Linked DNA regions of Canis lupus familiaris. Each later gene encodes a partner of the first gene's protein in a complex. Links are inferred from orthologs where the notes say so. Each region holds a gene or a part of one and is shown on either strand. Other genes may lie near its edges.

What was found. The genes of interacting proteins can lie anywhere in the genome.
Region 2: the proteins of SORT1 (region 1) and NTS are in contact, whole or in part, in a crystal structure (PDB 4PO7), measured with the Homo sapiens proteins. The link is inferred for Canis lupus familiaris from reciprocal best matches to the Homo sapiens genes SORT1 and NTS. Residues at the interface, in NP_002950.3 of Homo sapiens: Val112, Ser113, Leu114, Ser115, Trp116, Lys260, Tyr304, Ser305, Phe306, Gly307, Leu308, Phe314, Ser316, Arg325, Ile327, Phe350, Tyr351, Ser352, Ile353, Tyr395, Gly399, Thr570, Gly571, Leu572, Ala573, Trp586, Trp597; in NP_006174.1 of Homo sapiens: Leu152, Tyr153, Glu154, Asn155, Pro160, Tyr161, Ile162, Leu163.
Region 3: the proteins of SORT1 (region 1) and GRN are in contact, whole or in part, in a crystal structure (PDB 8T8S), measured with the Homo sapiens proteins. The link is inferred for Canis lupus familiaris from reciprocal best matches to the Homo sapiens genes SORT1 and GRN. Residues at the interface, in NP_002950.3 of Homo sapiens: Leu108, Gly110, Ser111, Val112, Ser113, Leu114, Ile174, Gly175, Pro176, Lys260, Tyr304, Ser305, Phe306, Gly307, Leu308, Phe314, Ala315, Ser316, Arg325, Ile327, Phe350, Tyr351, Ser352, Ile353, Leu354, Tyr395, Thr398, Gly399, Thr402, Phe404; in NP_002078.1 of Homo sapiens: Pro578, Arg579, Trp580, Asp581, Ala582, Pro583, Arg585, Arg590, Gln591, Leu592, Leu593.

Annotation. Positions count from the first base shown.
Region 1 is NC_049227.1:42,964,171-42,969,182, reverse strand, and holds part of SORT1 (sortilin), read right to left. Parts: intron 3,592-5,012; coding exon 3,402-3,591; intron 1-3,401.
Region 2 is NC_049236.1:27,665,331-27,670,342, reverse strand, and holds part of NTS (neurotensin/neuromedin N precursor), read right to left. Parts: intron 2,471-5,012; coding exon 2,246-2,470; intron 13-2,245; coding exon 1-12. UniProt on the Homo sapiens protein: Neurotensin may play an endocrine or paracrine role in the regulation of fat metabolism. It causes contraction of smooth muscle.
Region 3 is NC_049230.1:18,951,454-18,955,436, reverse strand, and holds the end of GRN (progranulin), read left to right. Parts: intron 1-54; coding exon 55-149; intron 150-367; coding exon 368-491; intron 492-784; coding exon 785-882; intron 883-971; coding exon 972-1,217; intron 1,218-1,482; coding exon 1,483-1,716; intron 1,717-1,818; coding exon 1,819-2,049; intron 2,050-2,145; coding exon 2,146-2,283; 3' UTR 2,284-2,588; downstream 2,589-3,983. Other genes in the region: protein FAM171A2, read right to left, coding at 3,241-3,983. UniProt on the Homo sapiens protein: Secreted protein that acts as a key regulator of lysosomal function and as a growth factor involved in inflammation, wound healing and cell proliferation. Regulates protein trafficking to lysosomes, and also the activity of lysosomal enzymes.

The DNA.
Region 1 (5,012 bases):
TGGAAGATTAATATTCCAGTCTTTGGAAGCAGTTCAGTGTCATCTGTAGAGAAGGTGTACTTAGGGAAACAGGCATGGAGAAGACCAAACTGGGGGGCCACGGGCAGCTTACGGGCAGGCCTGGTGAGCTTGGGCCTCGGGAACTGCCTCCCCCCCCCTCACACACAGACAGCACTGGCTCCAGGCAGGGGCCAACTGCACAGGCCAGGGACTCACGACACCAAAAAACTGTCGCATCAGCGACAGATCTAAACCCACGCCGCTTAGTGATCTTTTTATTTCCCTCCTGATCACTCGTTACTGTGTTCTCTGGCAGGGTGCCCTAGGGTGTAGGTCAGATTCTGCCTGCCTCATTTCTGTCCCTCTGTCTCCAGTGTGAATGCCCTGTCCTGCCCTCCATCCTACCCTATCTCTCCACCGCACTTCCCATCTGCCCTTTCCCCTAAGAACTCACACACTGCCCCCTCTCAGAGGCTGACGCCTTATGTGAGCATCCTTGGTCCGTCCTTCCTCCTGTCCCGGGACCTAGCTTCCCTGAGGGTGTAGAGGGACCACCAGGCCCGTGCAGCTGGGGGCTTCTCCTTAGCCTATGTGTTTCCTCTTCCTTCTCTCTCTTCTTAAAATAATATTTTAGATTTTTTCTGTTATACTCTTACTTTGCATTCTGTGCATGTTGGCTTTAGCACCCTCTACAACTTTGGGGGTAAACTTCTAAGGCCCCCAGGACTCACTAGGCCTGCAACCCTGGGGGGCCCTCTGGTCTGGCCTGTGCTGTGGCACCTAACACACTGCCTGCCCCAGCCCCTGGCCAGCTGTGCTTGCCTGTTTCTCTCGGTTTCCATCTTCTAACCTGGAAATGCACACACTTTCCAGCGTCGGCAAGTCATTCTCTTAGCCTGTGTCTGAGCATAATTATTTGTTGCAACTAAAACTTGTAGGTCTCACCTCTCTAGAGCTCTGAGCCTCCATTCTCAGTACCTGCTGGACATCACCACCTAAATCAGAACCCCAAATAAATGAAAACATCCAAAACGCATCATGTGTTCTCTCTCAAGCCAGCCTCTCCCATCACTTCTCTGTGTTTGCCACGGTGCTACCTTCCTTCCATTATCTAAGCTGAAAATTCAGCCTGGGCATCCCCTATTTGCCCCCTACTCGCTTCTTTATCGTGGCCATGGGGACTTCCCCTCATGGCCGATCTCCCAGCACACTCTTCCTGAGCATGCTGGTGGTATCTACTCTTGTACCAGTCCACTGGCTTTAAGGACTTGTTTCTTCCCAGATGTGCAAGGACAAGTCTTACCGCTTGCCAGGGCCTAGCTCAAATGCTACCTCCTCAACAAAGCCTTTTTTTTTTTAGATTTTTAAATTTATCTATTCATGAGAGAGAGGGGGTGTGTGTGGCAGAGACACAGGCAGAGGGAGAAGCAGGCTCCACGCAGGGAGCCCGACGCGGGACTAGATCCTGGGTCTCCAGGATCACACCCTGGGCTGAAGGCGGCGCTAAACCGCCAAGCCACCCGGGCTGCCCAACAAAGCCTTCTTTGACACACCGCCTTTCAGCTCTAGATGGAATGGCCTTTCCCTTCGCTAAATCCCCGAGGCACTGTTTCACCGCATAATTCTGTGCATCTGACCAGGACAATCAACAACAAACTTACTGTCACTTTGTGCTACCCTGAGCACAGCAAGGATGCAATGGACGTTTAGGCAATGCACTGATGCTGCGCTTGTACTTCAAGGTGTTTCTGACAAATGTTTAGGGAACGGGGTAAGAAGAGAACAAGCGATGCCAAGACACCAGACCTCTGACAGTGGGGAAAATTCTGGCAAAAAGTTTAGGTATCCAATCGCACATGTCAGGGAAAATGTCCTTCCTGCTCACAAAGTACACATTTCTCAAGCATGGGAGGGAAGCGTGCAGGCTCTGGAGTGGGGCTGTCAGGAGCACAGTCCAGCTCTTCTGCTTCCTGGCTGGGCCACTGTGTGGGCTGCAAGTTAGTAGGGACCTCTCTGAATCTTCTTTCTTGGTGAGATGGAAATGGCAGCAGGCCCTATCTCAGAGGCTGCTGAGGTTAAATGTAAATTGCTCAGGATGGGGTTGGCTACCGGGTCCGTGCTCAGTAGACGTCAGGGGCTGCGTGTACTCCAAGATGATCAAATCTAATGTGCCCTCAAGGAGTCGGGAGTTTACCGGTGGAACCAATCCATGCACAATAACCAAAACCTAGCAGCAGGCATCCTGCAGGAGCCCACGTGAGGAGAAGAAGGGCGCTATGTATTAAAGGCCAAGTAGGACCTCCTCAAGCCTGGGGGTCACGCAGGGAGCATGGGAAGACTTCACGGGTGGAGGAAGCTGCGTAAACAACAGTGTGGAGCTTTGACGGAGCACAGCATGTCTGGAAAGCAGGGGAAGGCCAGGTAATTAAGAGCCTGGTCTGTGTGATGAAGACAGCCCGCTGGAGCATCAGTGTCAGCAAGCTCTAGCCCCAGAGGGACACCGCAGTGATCTGAGGGATCCCACTCCTTGTGGAAGGACAGCAGGTCACCCCTGGCCTGCTCCACATACAGACGTGAGCCACACAGGCAGGACCACAGCAGTCAGACCGGGGGTTCGCTCCATCCCCCATTCCCCTCACCCGCAGTTCTAGAGAAATGTCTATGCGGGAGGACACGACTGCTATCTGCCTGCACTCTTTCCAGATCCTTTAGGATTCACCTTACCTTCCTGCCAGTATGTTCTGCAAGAAACGAGTTCCATGAGGTTACTGGCTGTGACGGCATGCAGCCCCTCTCATTTGTGCTAAGCTACCCTGCTTGGCTAGCTGGGGCCTGTCTCACCCTTAGATAATCAGCTAACTCCACGCTGGCCTTGTCACTAGCCCTGTACCTGGTGGTCCTGAACTCGAGGGAGTCCACCACGATGGCCTCTAGACCCTGATGGGACATCTGGACATCACCACCCCGATGCCCCCTCCTGTCTCAGGACAGAAGCACTCTTTGCCTTCAGGCGTGCAGACAATCCAAAACCTAGCGCCCTACCTGCTGCACTCGGGCGGTCGGTATTTAGTGAGCACAGGAGGCCCAACCTCCCCCCAGCTGCTGCACTGCCCTTCCCGGTGGTTTCCACACTGTCGGTTCCTCTCTGGGTTTGAGTTCTCTTTCTCCTTATACACCTCTCTCCCTTGCTGTCTGGTGTGACAGATCACCTGTCTGAGGACTGTAACTGTGGATCCCTTCTCTGTGCCTCCAGCTCCTCAATAAGCAGCAGCAGCAGCAGCAGCAGCTCGCCACACTCGGGGAAGGAAGGATTGAAATCCTTTACAGCCCCCGAAGACAACTGCCTTTTGCCCCCTCCCGCCCAGCAAAGGGGCTAACAGGGATGTGAGGGGGGCCAATACCAGAGGAAGTCCTCCAGGGAGCAGGGACAGACGGACGGCTGCTTGGTCACAACATAGTCCCGGCCGTTCTGGCAGACGGACGACTTGCGGAGCCGCAGATACTGTTCCTTGTAACCCAAGATGCAGCCATCTCCATAATCCCCGGGGTCTGCGGAGTGAGCCAGCCATATGGTATAGTCCTTCTCCTCACCTAGAGAGAACACAGGCTGTTCAGGTGACCGCCTGGCCCCACACCCACATGCGAGAGGCGGTTGCAGGCGGGGAGGAGAACACGGATGGGAAATGGGGGTGTCTGACTCATCCTACTGCCTCATTTTGGAACTGCAGATGAAAGTTGCAGGACTTGAAGCCTGCTAGCAGTTGGCATCACTCATGTCAGGAGAGGACTCTTCATGTCTCACCGTCCATCTGGATATTAGGAAAAACCCTATTTGTTTCAAAGTGGGCAGCTGGATGGGGGACCTCAAAGCTCCCTTTGAGGTGGAGAGGCTGCTGTCTCTACGTCTGGTACACCTGTGCTCTTGGTCAGCAGAGCTGCCACTAGTAAGTGGCCAGGTGTTCCCTTTTAGGACAAGATAAGAGCCAGCCAAAGCAGGGGTTCAATCTCACCGTTAGGTTAGCTTGCCTCAAGTAGAAGGAGACAAGGTCTTTCTAGACCTTTAACTCTAGTCAACTGGCTTTCCAATCAGTGACAGTCAATCTGGTTTCGTGAGTCTTATCATACTGGAAAAATGACTCAAAGGCTATGGCCTGAAGACTGTGCATTAGGTTTTTATCCTTTGGGATATGAAGACCAGCACAGAGCCTTTTAAGAAGCAGGTGCTTACCAAATCTTTTAATGGCGTTAAACTTTAGGGATAACTGTAGAGCTGCCTTACGAAGGAAAACTCGTAAGCTGGCTCCTTTACAGCCTATTTCATGAATCTGGATAATAATGACTCTCGAATATTAAATCATATTTAAACACCTGTAGAAAAGTAAGGTCCAAACGAGTGCTCCTGCTTCCTCCAGGGGTCACTGAACTAACATTCTGAGGAAACAGAGCCAGCATACAATCTAATAACGAGACCAGGACTCAACCAAAGTGACCTGAAAACCTTAAGTCTTTTATTATAACACCCCAGAGTTCACAGGGTGGGGGCCTTTTCTCCAGTTTTCTCTTTTATCCTCCATATCTTTCAGTAGCATGTCAGCATCTTGGGTACTGGGGCCTGGGTTGGCTTGTGATTCTTTAGCAACAGCTTGCGACGAACATTTTACCTCCTTTTCTGAAGTCATTTCCTGTCCCTTGAACATGCCTTCCAGCCTGAAGTCACAGAACTCTGAAATGGTCAGTGTAGGGCTTCGTGTTTGCCCAGTAGCCATTCTAGAGCCTCACTGGTGACGGATATTCAAGCCAAAACTCTTTGCATGAAAACTTGCCCACTTCAATGTTTTTATTTTTTTCATTCAATGTTTAATAAGGGACACAGTCAGATGCTCTTTGCAATAGACTTCCCTCTAAAGCTTTCTCTCTACAGTTCTGTTGCAATCAAGGGTGAAAATCCCTGAAATGTCATGAAGTAATTTAAGATAAACACAAGCATGCACCATCCTTACAAGCAGAAGGAA
Region 2 (5,012 bases), on another chromosome or scaffold:
TTCCTGGATTAACTGCAAGATAGGCACAATAGGAATCAAACGTACATGCATGACGTCTTTCAGAGTATTTTTCTACATTTTACATTTTACCTCTTTTGCTATTCAGACTGTAAGACACAGGTGGATAAGATACATGAGGTTTAAAGCAATTAAATGTTTTGTGCAAGGACAGATGACTATCAGCTGACTGAGATAGGATATGGTTTTTCCCAATTCTCTGTTCAAGGCCATGTACTAACACCTCCAACTGAAGTAACACACCTAGTTGTGTTACGAAGATTTTTCAGGCTTTAATTTATGACAGAGGAACTAAATTGCATTAAAATATATTATAAATCAACAACAAATAAAGAGTTTTTAATTTAGTAAGCCAAGTTTAGCCTCAAAAGGCAACAGGATTTTATATTTTATATTCTCTTAATTACCAACTTGACTTGAAAGCCATTCTGAAGATCCATTTCTTAATCAAAGGGAGAGAAATGCCTGCTCTGCCTAACTTAGTTGTGACAGAAATTCACGCATGTGAAAGCTCTGCTTAAATAGTAAAGATCTCTTCAGGTTGTGGCGCCTAATAATTAGAAACAAGTTCAGATTCCATAACTTAAGGGAGTTCATCTCCATGTAGAATCTTCCCTACTATCTCATTGAATATGCCACATTCTAAAATTAATTCTGAACCCTTTTTTCTGGTACAGGTGTGATTCAAAAATTTCAGCTAACGGAAAATGTTTAAGAACTTGTCCCAGAATGTTGCACATAATTTATGTGAAATTTTAAAACAAATGTTCAAAATAAGAATTGTCTTTGTGTTTGTGATTGTCCTCTAATCTTTGGGGTCATAAGAAATACTAAGAGGAGACTAAAATTTTAATTATAATGCTTATGGACTGAGTTGTATCACCAAGTACTTTATCTCAACCCATAACATCCAATTTCAGAGAAGAAAAAACAGGTACTGGCAGACAATCTAGTTTCTAAATCTTATGTTTCTCTGTGAACATAGTCTATAATTATTCATATTATGTTCTGAATGATATTATCACTTTATTTTAAATTACTCAGTAAAACATTTAAAATAGTGAAAGTTCTAATTGTATGTGCACCTGATTTGTATGTATAATAATTTATTGAGGTTTTTTCTTTTCAATTCCTGGATAAATAGCACACAATTGACATTTCCCTATGTTAAAATTAGGATTTTTTAAGTTTTATTGACTTAAACAATGTTTTAGAGACTAAACTATTTAGCTGGAACTGGAATTAGGGATTAGTAGTCCATCAAGTAAAATTTAAACTAGTTTTGTTTTTTGGTTTTTTTTTTTTTTTTTTTTTTTTTTTTGGTTTTTCATCTAGAAAACATCTTCTTGTTTACAAGTTAAAATAAACACTAGAAGTTCTAGTTTGCATTTCTTCTTTTCCTCAGGGTGTCTCTGTGATAGTCCTCTACAGCGATTGCTATATTAGCAGGAAAGGCACCCTCAAATTTGCCATGTTGGTGTAAACCCAAAATACAAATCATTAAGCAGATTTCTCTTAGAGGTTAATATGAGAGAAATGGTTCCCTTGTTGGAAAAAATTTTAATTTTTTTTTCTTTAAAGCATTTTCATTTCTCTTTTCCTCCTTCAAGCAAACAATTGTTCCAAAATCAAAGGCAGTAAATCACTAGTATAGTATTTAATACAACTGTTTCATCCTATTTTAGTGTAGTTCTTTCTGTATAATGGATTTTGGCTGCGTTGGCTGTGGTGGACCTAGTTTAGATGCTAAGGATGCCTGAAATCTATGTATTCAATTGAAATAGGAATACATATATATGGATTTTTCCAGTTTTATTTGCCTGATATATTCAAATACAAGTAGAACCTTTCATTTTGTGTTTGTTTATAGACACACATGACTTGGTGTTTCTAAGAAAATATTTTGAGCTCTTAAATTTTATAGGCATGTGACCACTAAAAATTGCCTAAGTATGCCATCCATTTAAGCACAATAAAAGCATGTGGATCAAATCTGCCTTAAGATATATCCCCCTTTTAAGATTGAAGAAAAAATATTTTGCTAAACTCCAAATATTTGAAGGACACTTTGAAGATCTGAAGGAATGTTAACCTAAACACATGGTTTATTCTTCTTTAATATCTGTAACTCTTCCTGTTATGATAATGATCAGGGCAGAAAAAATCAGGACAAATGAAAGCTAACTAGTATAACGAGAATTACATTCATATTTTGTTTTTGCTTTACCTCCCATTGTTGAAAGGCCCTGCTGTGACAGATTTTTTGGAGCTGGTATATTGTCAACATTGCTTCCAAGCTAAAGCCATCCAAGGCAGTGGGAAATTTCCTTCTTGTAATAAGCTCCTCTTCACGAAACTCTCCTGTTTCCTCGGCTTGGCTGTTCAGGTTATTGACAAAACTGCAAACATTTAGCAGGGTCATTTTCCAAGAAGAAACACTTGCTTTACTGATCTGAAATATAGAAAAAAATTAGGTACTTAAAATAAAAAAATAGCTAATTAAAACTTGTATTCTATGAAATAAGAAATTAATTTCCATTATGCTAAGCCATTAAAGCCATTATATTTTAGAATCTTTTACTCTAGCTTCATATTTACACTGCTATTAATTTAGTAACCTTACATCACAAAATTTATTAGTACCAATTCCTCTTATATTCAATTTTTTAATGTAATACAATTATAAACATGCACACAAGCACACATACATGAGCAAAGCAAAAAATATAGAAATAATTGTGAGTATAAATATGTAAACATATATGCATATATCACAGATGAAAATATTAAAAATACTATTCTCTTTACTACACTTCAGTTTGGTGTCTAATGGAGCATGGACTGCGATGATACTAACAGATTTGGACAATTACAGTAGTGTGAGATCACTAATCTATTCCACACATCAATAGTTCTCATAGGCAGCATCACAGCTGATCAATTTATTTATTTGTAAATTATAATATTTTCTAGAGTTACCATTTTTTCTAATTATATCTTGTCTGAAACCAGTATTACCATCAATAACTTTCCTATGTGCCAATAATAATCAGTGAGGAAACATAAAGACTTAGGAGAACCTAAATGCAAAATAATAAAAATTTCAAATGGCATATAGGAAAGCATGCATTTTTCCTAAACACACACACACACACACACACACACACACACACAAATGTGAATGACCACACAACCACGATGAGAGGATTCAATAATGGCAATATCACATGTCCATTGTCTCTGAATTACCTCCCCCCCATAATGCAATTGAAAATCAAAATTCCAATTGGAAAAAAAAAAAATCCAATTTGGAAAACCTGGGGATACCGGACTTTGGAGTTGGGGATTTGGCAAAATAATTAATTTGTAAGCATGAAAGTGTGAGAATAACAAGATTTAGAAAAATAAAAAGGCAATGAGGAGGAACTTATTCTACCAGATACTGAAGTGTACTTTAAAGGCTCAGCAAAAGGCAACAACAGAATAGAAAATAATATCCCCAAATTGGTCCAAGTACAAATGAATGAGCAGCGTATAACAGAGTTCACATTTGAAATCCTTGAGACAATTGGCTATCAGGAAATCTGGACTTACATCTAGTTATAACTTTCTTGATCTACTGTAGTTTACTGTAGTTACAAATGAGTAAAAGTAGAATAGTGTCTAAATATATAAAGTTTGTTTTATAAACCTAGAAAGGTATTATTAAGCAAATATCTAAACCACAATCCATAAAGAAAAGGATGATTTTAAATTAAATGTGTAGAACATCTCTGGAAAATGACCAGCCTTAATGTAAAAGCTGCCACAAAATGTTAATATCCTTAATACAGGTAAAGATCTTCAAAAAGAAACTGCTGAATGCACCAATTAAAAAAAAAACTAAAAATTTTAAACTGTGTTTAAGTAAAATGAGTAAACAAGTCACAGAATCCCTTATCAAAGAAGAAATATATGGAAAGATGTTCAACTTGACCACCAACACCTCCTCGGAAGACTTTCAAAAGGACAGGGACACTCATTTGGTGTAGTTCTAGGGACATGGGGATGGGGCTACTTCCTCTTCTAAATATTTGTCAGTCTGGGTGTAGAATGTTGTAACTTTTTGAAGGATATCTTGTGTTAAAATGGAAAGTGTACACACCCTTTGATTAAGATTTTACCCTAAGAACATGCAAATATATGAGTACAAAGATATTGACTTGAATATGATATATAATAACATAACATAGGATGGTTTTAGCCAGTTTAGAAATCCTTTCAGCCATACCCTGTGAATTCAATTATCCAGCCATTGCTTAAGCTCTTCTGTTATGGAAAACTTAGAGACATGCTCCACTGTTTGGCAGCAACACCTTATATCATACCAGTTAATGGCATACTATAATTTTACATTTAGAAAGTTCTTTGTAGATCATCTAATTGAATGTTTTCTAAAGTGTACTCCTTGGAACACTAGTTCTGCACTCATTGTTTCTCAAAGAGTTCTCCTGTCAAGTACAATGGAAAACTTAAATTTAAAGAAATTGTAAAGATTTCTTGAACTTAGGTATCCTCAGAACTTTTTTACTTGCACATATTTATTGTAACTTTTAATTTTTTTAAATTTATTATTCTTGAGTAATCTCTACACCCAAAGTGGGGCTTGAACTCACAACCTCGAGATCAAGAGTTACATGCTCTACCAACTGAGCTAGCCAGGTGCCCCCATTGTAACTTTTTAATGGTGCCAATATAGTGTCAAATATTCCCCAAACTAATATGACCACAGAATGCTTTATTTGTAAAGTATCTGTCAGGATTTGTGTTATCTGGTTACTTTTTTGGATGAGGAAACTGAATTAATCATCCTGTTTCTTTCTGCCAGTTAAAGTAGTCACTACATGACTCAATAGTACAATTATTTAAGGTCACATTGGTCCCTGTCATACCTAGGAAGCCCAGCAGAGAAAACTGTACTGACTACAGGATGTCTAAGTTAGATATCTTGTATT
Region 3 (3,983 bases), on another chromosome or scaffold:
GGGGAAGAGCTCCCCGCCACCTGGGCTGCCCCGCACACCTCTCTCCCCTTCCAGGGGTCATATGCCCTGATGGCCGGTCCCAGTGCCCTGATGGTTCCACTTGCTGCGAGCTGCCCAGCGGGAAGTATGGCTGCTGCCCAATGCCTCATGTGAGTGAAGGGCTAGGTGCCCACAGTCACCTGGCCCGGACACCTACCTTGGAGGGACGCCTTGGGGTGGGGCGTGCTGGCAGGTCCTTGGAAGCTTGGCTGCTCAGGACTCATGCCACCCCCTAGTGGGGGACTGAGGCAGTGTCAGCTGTCACCTGGCTGCTCCCTGAGCTCAACGGAGATTGGAAGTCACAGGACCTTCCCCTCCCCCCACCCAGGCCATCTGCTGCTCCGATCACCTGCACTGTTGCCCCCAGGATACTGTGTGCGACTTGGTCCGGAGTAAGTGCCTCTCCAAGGAGAACGCTACGGACCTCCTCACCAAGCTGCCAGCACACACAGGTACCAGAGGAAGGCTGCAGACCCCATTCTACCTGCACCATGTGCAGGAGCTCTCCACTGCACTGTTCCAGGAACAGATAAGGGGGTGGGAGGCTGATGGCCACAAGGAGGGGACAGGGCTGGCACAGCCCCTTTTCCTCCACACTAGTCATTGCCTTTGGGTCACTGCTGAGGTGGCCTAAATATACTCTCCATTCTCCACACCTGGGTCCAGCTGTGGCGCCAGCAAGGGGTTGGGTGTCCTGAGGGCCCCCACAGCCACCGCTGACCTGTCCTCCGTGCCTTTCTCACAGTGCAGGAGGTGAAATGTGACATGGAGGTGAGCTGCCCAGACGGCTACACCTGCTGCCGTCTGCAGTCAGGGGCCTGGGGCTGCTGCCCTTTTGCCCAGGTACCCAGGAGTGGTGGGTGGGCTGGGCTGAGCAGAAAGTGGCAGCCAGCTAGGCCTCGTGCCCATTGTCCCCTGTCCATTCACCCTAGGCCGTATGCTGTGAGGACCATGTACACTGCTGCCCGGCTGGGTTTAAATGTGACACAGCGAAGGGCACCTGTGAACAGAACGCCCCCCAGATGCCCTGGATGGTGCAGGCCCCAGCCCGCCTTCAGCTGCTGAACCCCCAGGCCACAGAGAATGATGTCCCCTGTGATAACGTCACCAGCTGTCCCTCCTCCAATACCTGCTGTCGACTTATGTCCGGGGAGTGGGGCTGCTGTCCTGCCCCAGAGGTGTGTGGGTAGGGGGAGAGCATGGCAGGGGGATGACAGGGTCTTAGCCAAGGCAGGTGGCCAGCCTCCTGTTGCTTTGCTCTTCTCTCCCCTGCCTGGCCCACAGGTGGCACACCAGCTGGGTCAAGTTCATTCCCAGCTGGGGGAGCTGTGAGCAGGAGAGGGAGTCGGGCTAGGCAGGGGCTTAGCTTTTTGTCCCACATGGCAGCTTCCCAGACCATCCTGTTCTACCACTGTCCCCCCTACCCCCCCCCACCCCTGCCAGGCTGTCTGCTGCTCAGACCACCAGCACTGCTGCCCCCATGGCTATACGTGCTTGGACGACGGGCACTGTCAGAGGGGGAGCAAGGTGGTGAGTGGACTGGAGAAGATGCCTGCCCGCCGGGCTTCCCCATCTCACCGCAGGGATATAGGCTGTGACCAGCACACCAGCTGCCCCGTGGGACAGACCTGCTGCCCAAGCCTGAGTGGAGGCTGGGCCTGCTGCCAGTTGCCTCATGTGAGTGCCCCCCCCCCACCACCACCCCACCTGCCCTGCACAGGGGGTCTGAGTCTCCCAGGGAGAGGAGGGGAGAGTTGAAGGCTGCCCTGTCCCTCCCAGGCTGTGTGCTGTGAGGACCGTCAGCACTGCTGCCCAGCCGGGTACACCTGCAACGTGAAGGCCCGATCCTGTGAGAAGGAGGCAGACTCGACCCACCTGGCCGTCCGCCTGGCCCGTGGCCCTCGCGTGGGTGTGGGGAACGTGAAGTGTGGGGAAGGGCACTTCTGCCATGATAACCAGACCTGCTGTCGAGATAGCCGAGGAGGCTGGGCCTGCTGTCCCTATCACCAGGTCAGTGCTCCCTCACCCCTGCCCTGGAGCTGGGTATCCCTGAGAGCCAGGTGCCCCACTCTGACCCCCTGCCCCCACCCATCTGTGGCCGTCCAGGGTGTCTGTTGTGCGGATCAGCGTCACTGCTGCCCCACTGGCTTCCACTGTGGGGCCAAGGGCACCAAATGTCTACGGAGGGAGAGCCTGCGCTGGGACATGCCACTGAGGGACCCAGCCCCAAGACCGCTGCTGTGAGGCGAGCCGAAGGACTATAGAGTCTGCAGCCCTTGGGACCCTGCTCGGAGGGTCCCCACTGCTCAGGCCTCCCCAGCACCTCTCCCCCACCAAATTCTCCCAAGTCCCCCATCCTGAGTCCCACCCCCATCATGGTTGCTGGGGCCTCAACCTAAGGCCTTCCCTATCTCAAGGGAGGCTGTGGCGAAAGCCATGTTACAAGCTGCCATCCCTCCCTGTTTCCGTCTACCCTGTGGCCAGGTGCTCTTCCCTATCCACAGGTGTATGTGTGTATGTGCTGCAGTAAAGTTTGTACACTTTCTTAACAGCGTCTGATTTGACCACCTTGCCTGCCCTACTCTGAGAAGGGCTCCCACCCAGTGTCCGTGTTCCCCAACCCCACAGAAAGACACACACACACAGAGTTAATCTCACCAGTTTTATATTTGCTGTTGCCCACAGCAATCCCATCACACGATCCCCTAGTCCCCAGAGCCGCCCCAGCCACCAGCCCTGTGACATTGTAGCCCAGAGATGGGCTAGTCAGCAAGCAGCACCCCCTCCCCTCCCGGGGGTCCACAGAGAAGGCCCCCTCCCTTCCCGGCCCTCACACTAGCAGCTGAGGCCCGGTCGCCCCTCCTGCTTCCCCACAATAGATCTTTCTATGTACAGCCACGTTTATACAGGCACTGCTTCCCCCCACCCAGCCCTCCTTCCCCAGCACCTCCCCAATGGGGGTCTGGACCCCTCCCACCTCCTCCCTCTTGGAGGCTGACCCGGGTCCCTCCCGAGACCTCACCCAGCACGTACCACTGGACAGCTCCGCAGGCCCCCGGCCACCTCTCCCGGCAGGGCGGGGGGCACTGGGGCGCTAAGAGCGAGGGCCCCCGCGGCCCCCCGGCGCGCGCACCCTGGGGGCGGAGCCGGGCGGGAGGGGCGGGGGCCGGCCCGGGGGCGGCGCCAGGCCGGGCGGGGGCGCTACTTGACGTTGAACACCATCAGCGGCCGCTCCTCCCGCCGCTGCCACGGGCTCTTCTTGTCGCCCGCCTCGTCGCCCGCCTCCGCCCCCAGCTCGTCCTCTGGGCTGGTGAGCGAGTCGCGCCGCAGCTCGCTGGCGCTGCTGCGGGAACTGTCCCCGCGGCTGCGGCCCCGACCCCGGGGCACGGTGGCCGCCCGGCCCTCGGGCGCCGCCACCTCGTCCAGCAGCGGCGTCAGCGAGTTGTCCTCGGGGGAGCAGAGGCCCGTGCGGCTCTCGCTGCTGCTCGGCTCCGTGTCCTCGCTGAGCGCCAGGCGCGGGGGCGCGGGCGGCGGCGGCGGCGGCGGGGGCGGCGGGGCGGCGGGGGGGGCACGCTCCCGCTCCCGCTCCTCGCGCAGGGGCCGCCGGCGCGCGGGCCGCGCCTCGTGCACGTCGACGCCCGAGTCCAGGCTGGCGTCGGTGCTGCGGCCGCCCCCGCCCGCCTGCAGGTCGATGTAGGAGTGGCGCACCTGCGAGTTGGAGCGCCCGTCCAGGGACACGAACCAGGCGCGCGGGTGAGGCTTCACGCCCAGTTCGAGCAGCTTCTTCTCGGTCAGAGCCTGCAGCTCCCCGTTGAGCTGCGCCATGGTGGACTCGTTGAACAGCACCGGGATGGTGACCGAGCCGCTGACCGGCGCCGAGCGCCCGCCCCCCCAGGCCTCGCCGCCGCCGCCGCCCTCGCCGCCCGCGCCCGAGTGGCTCTGCA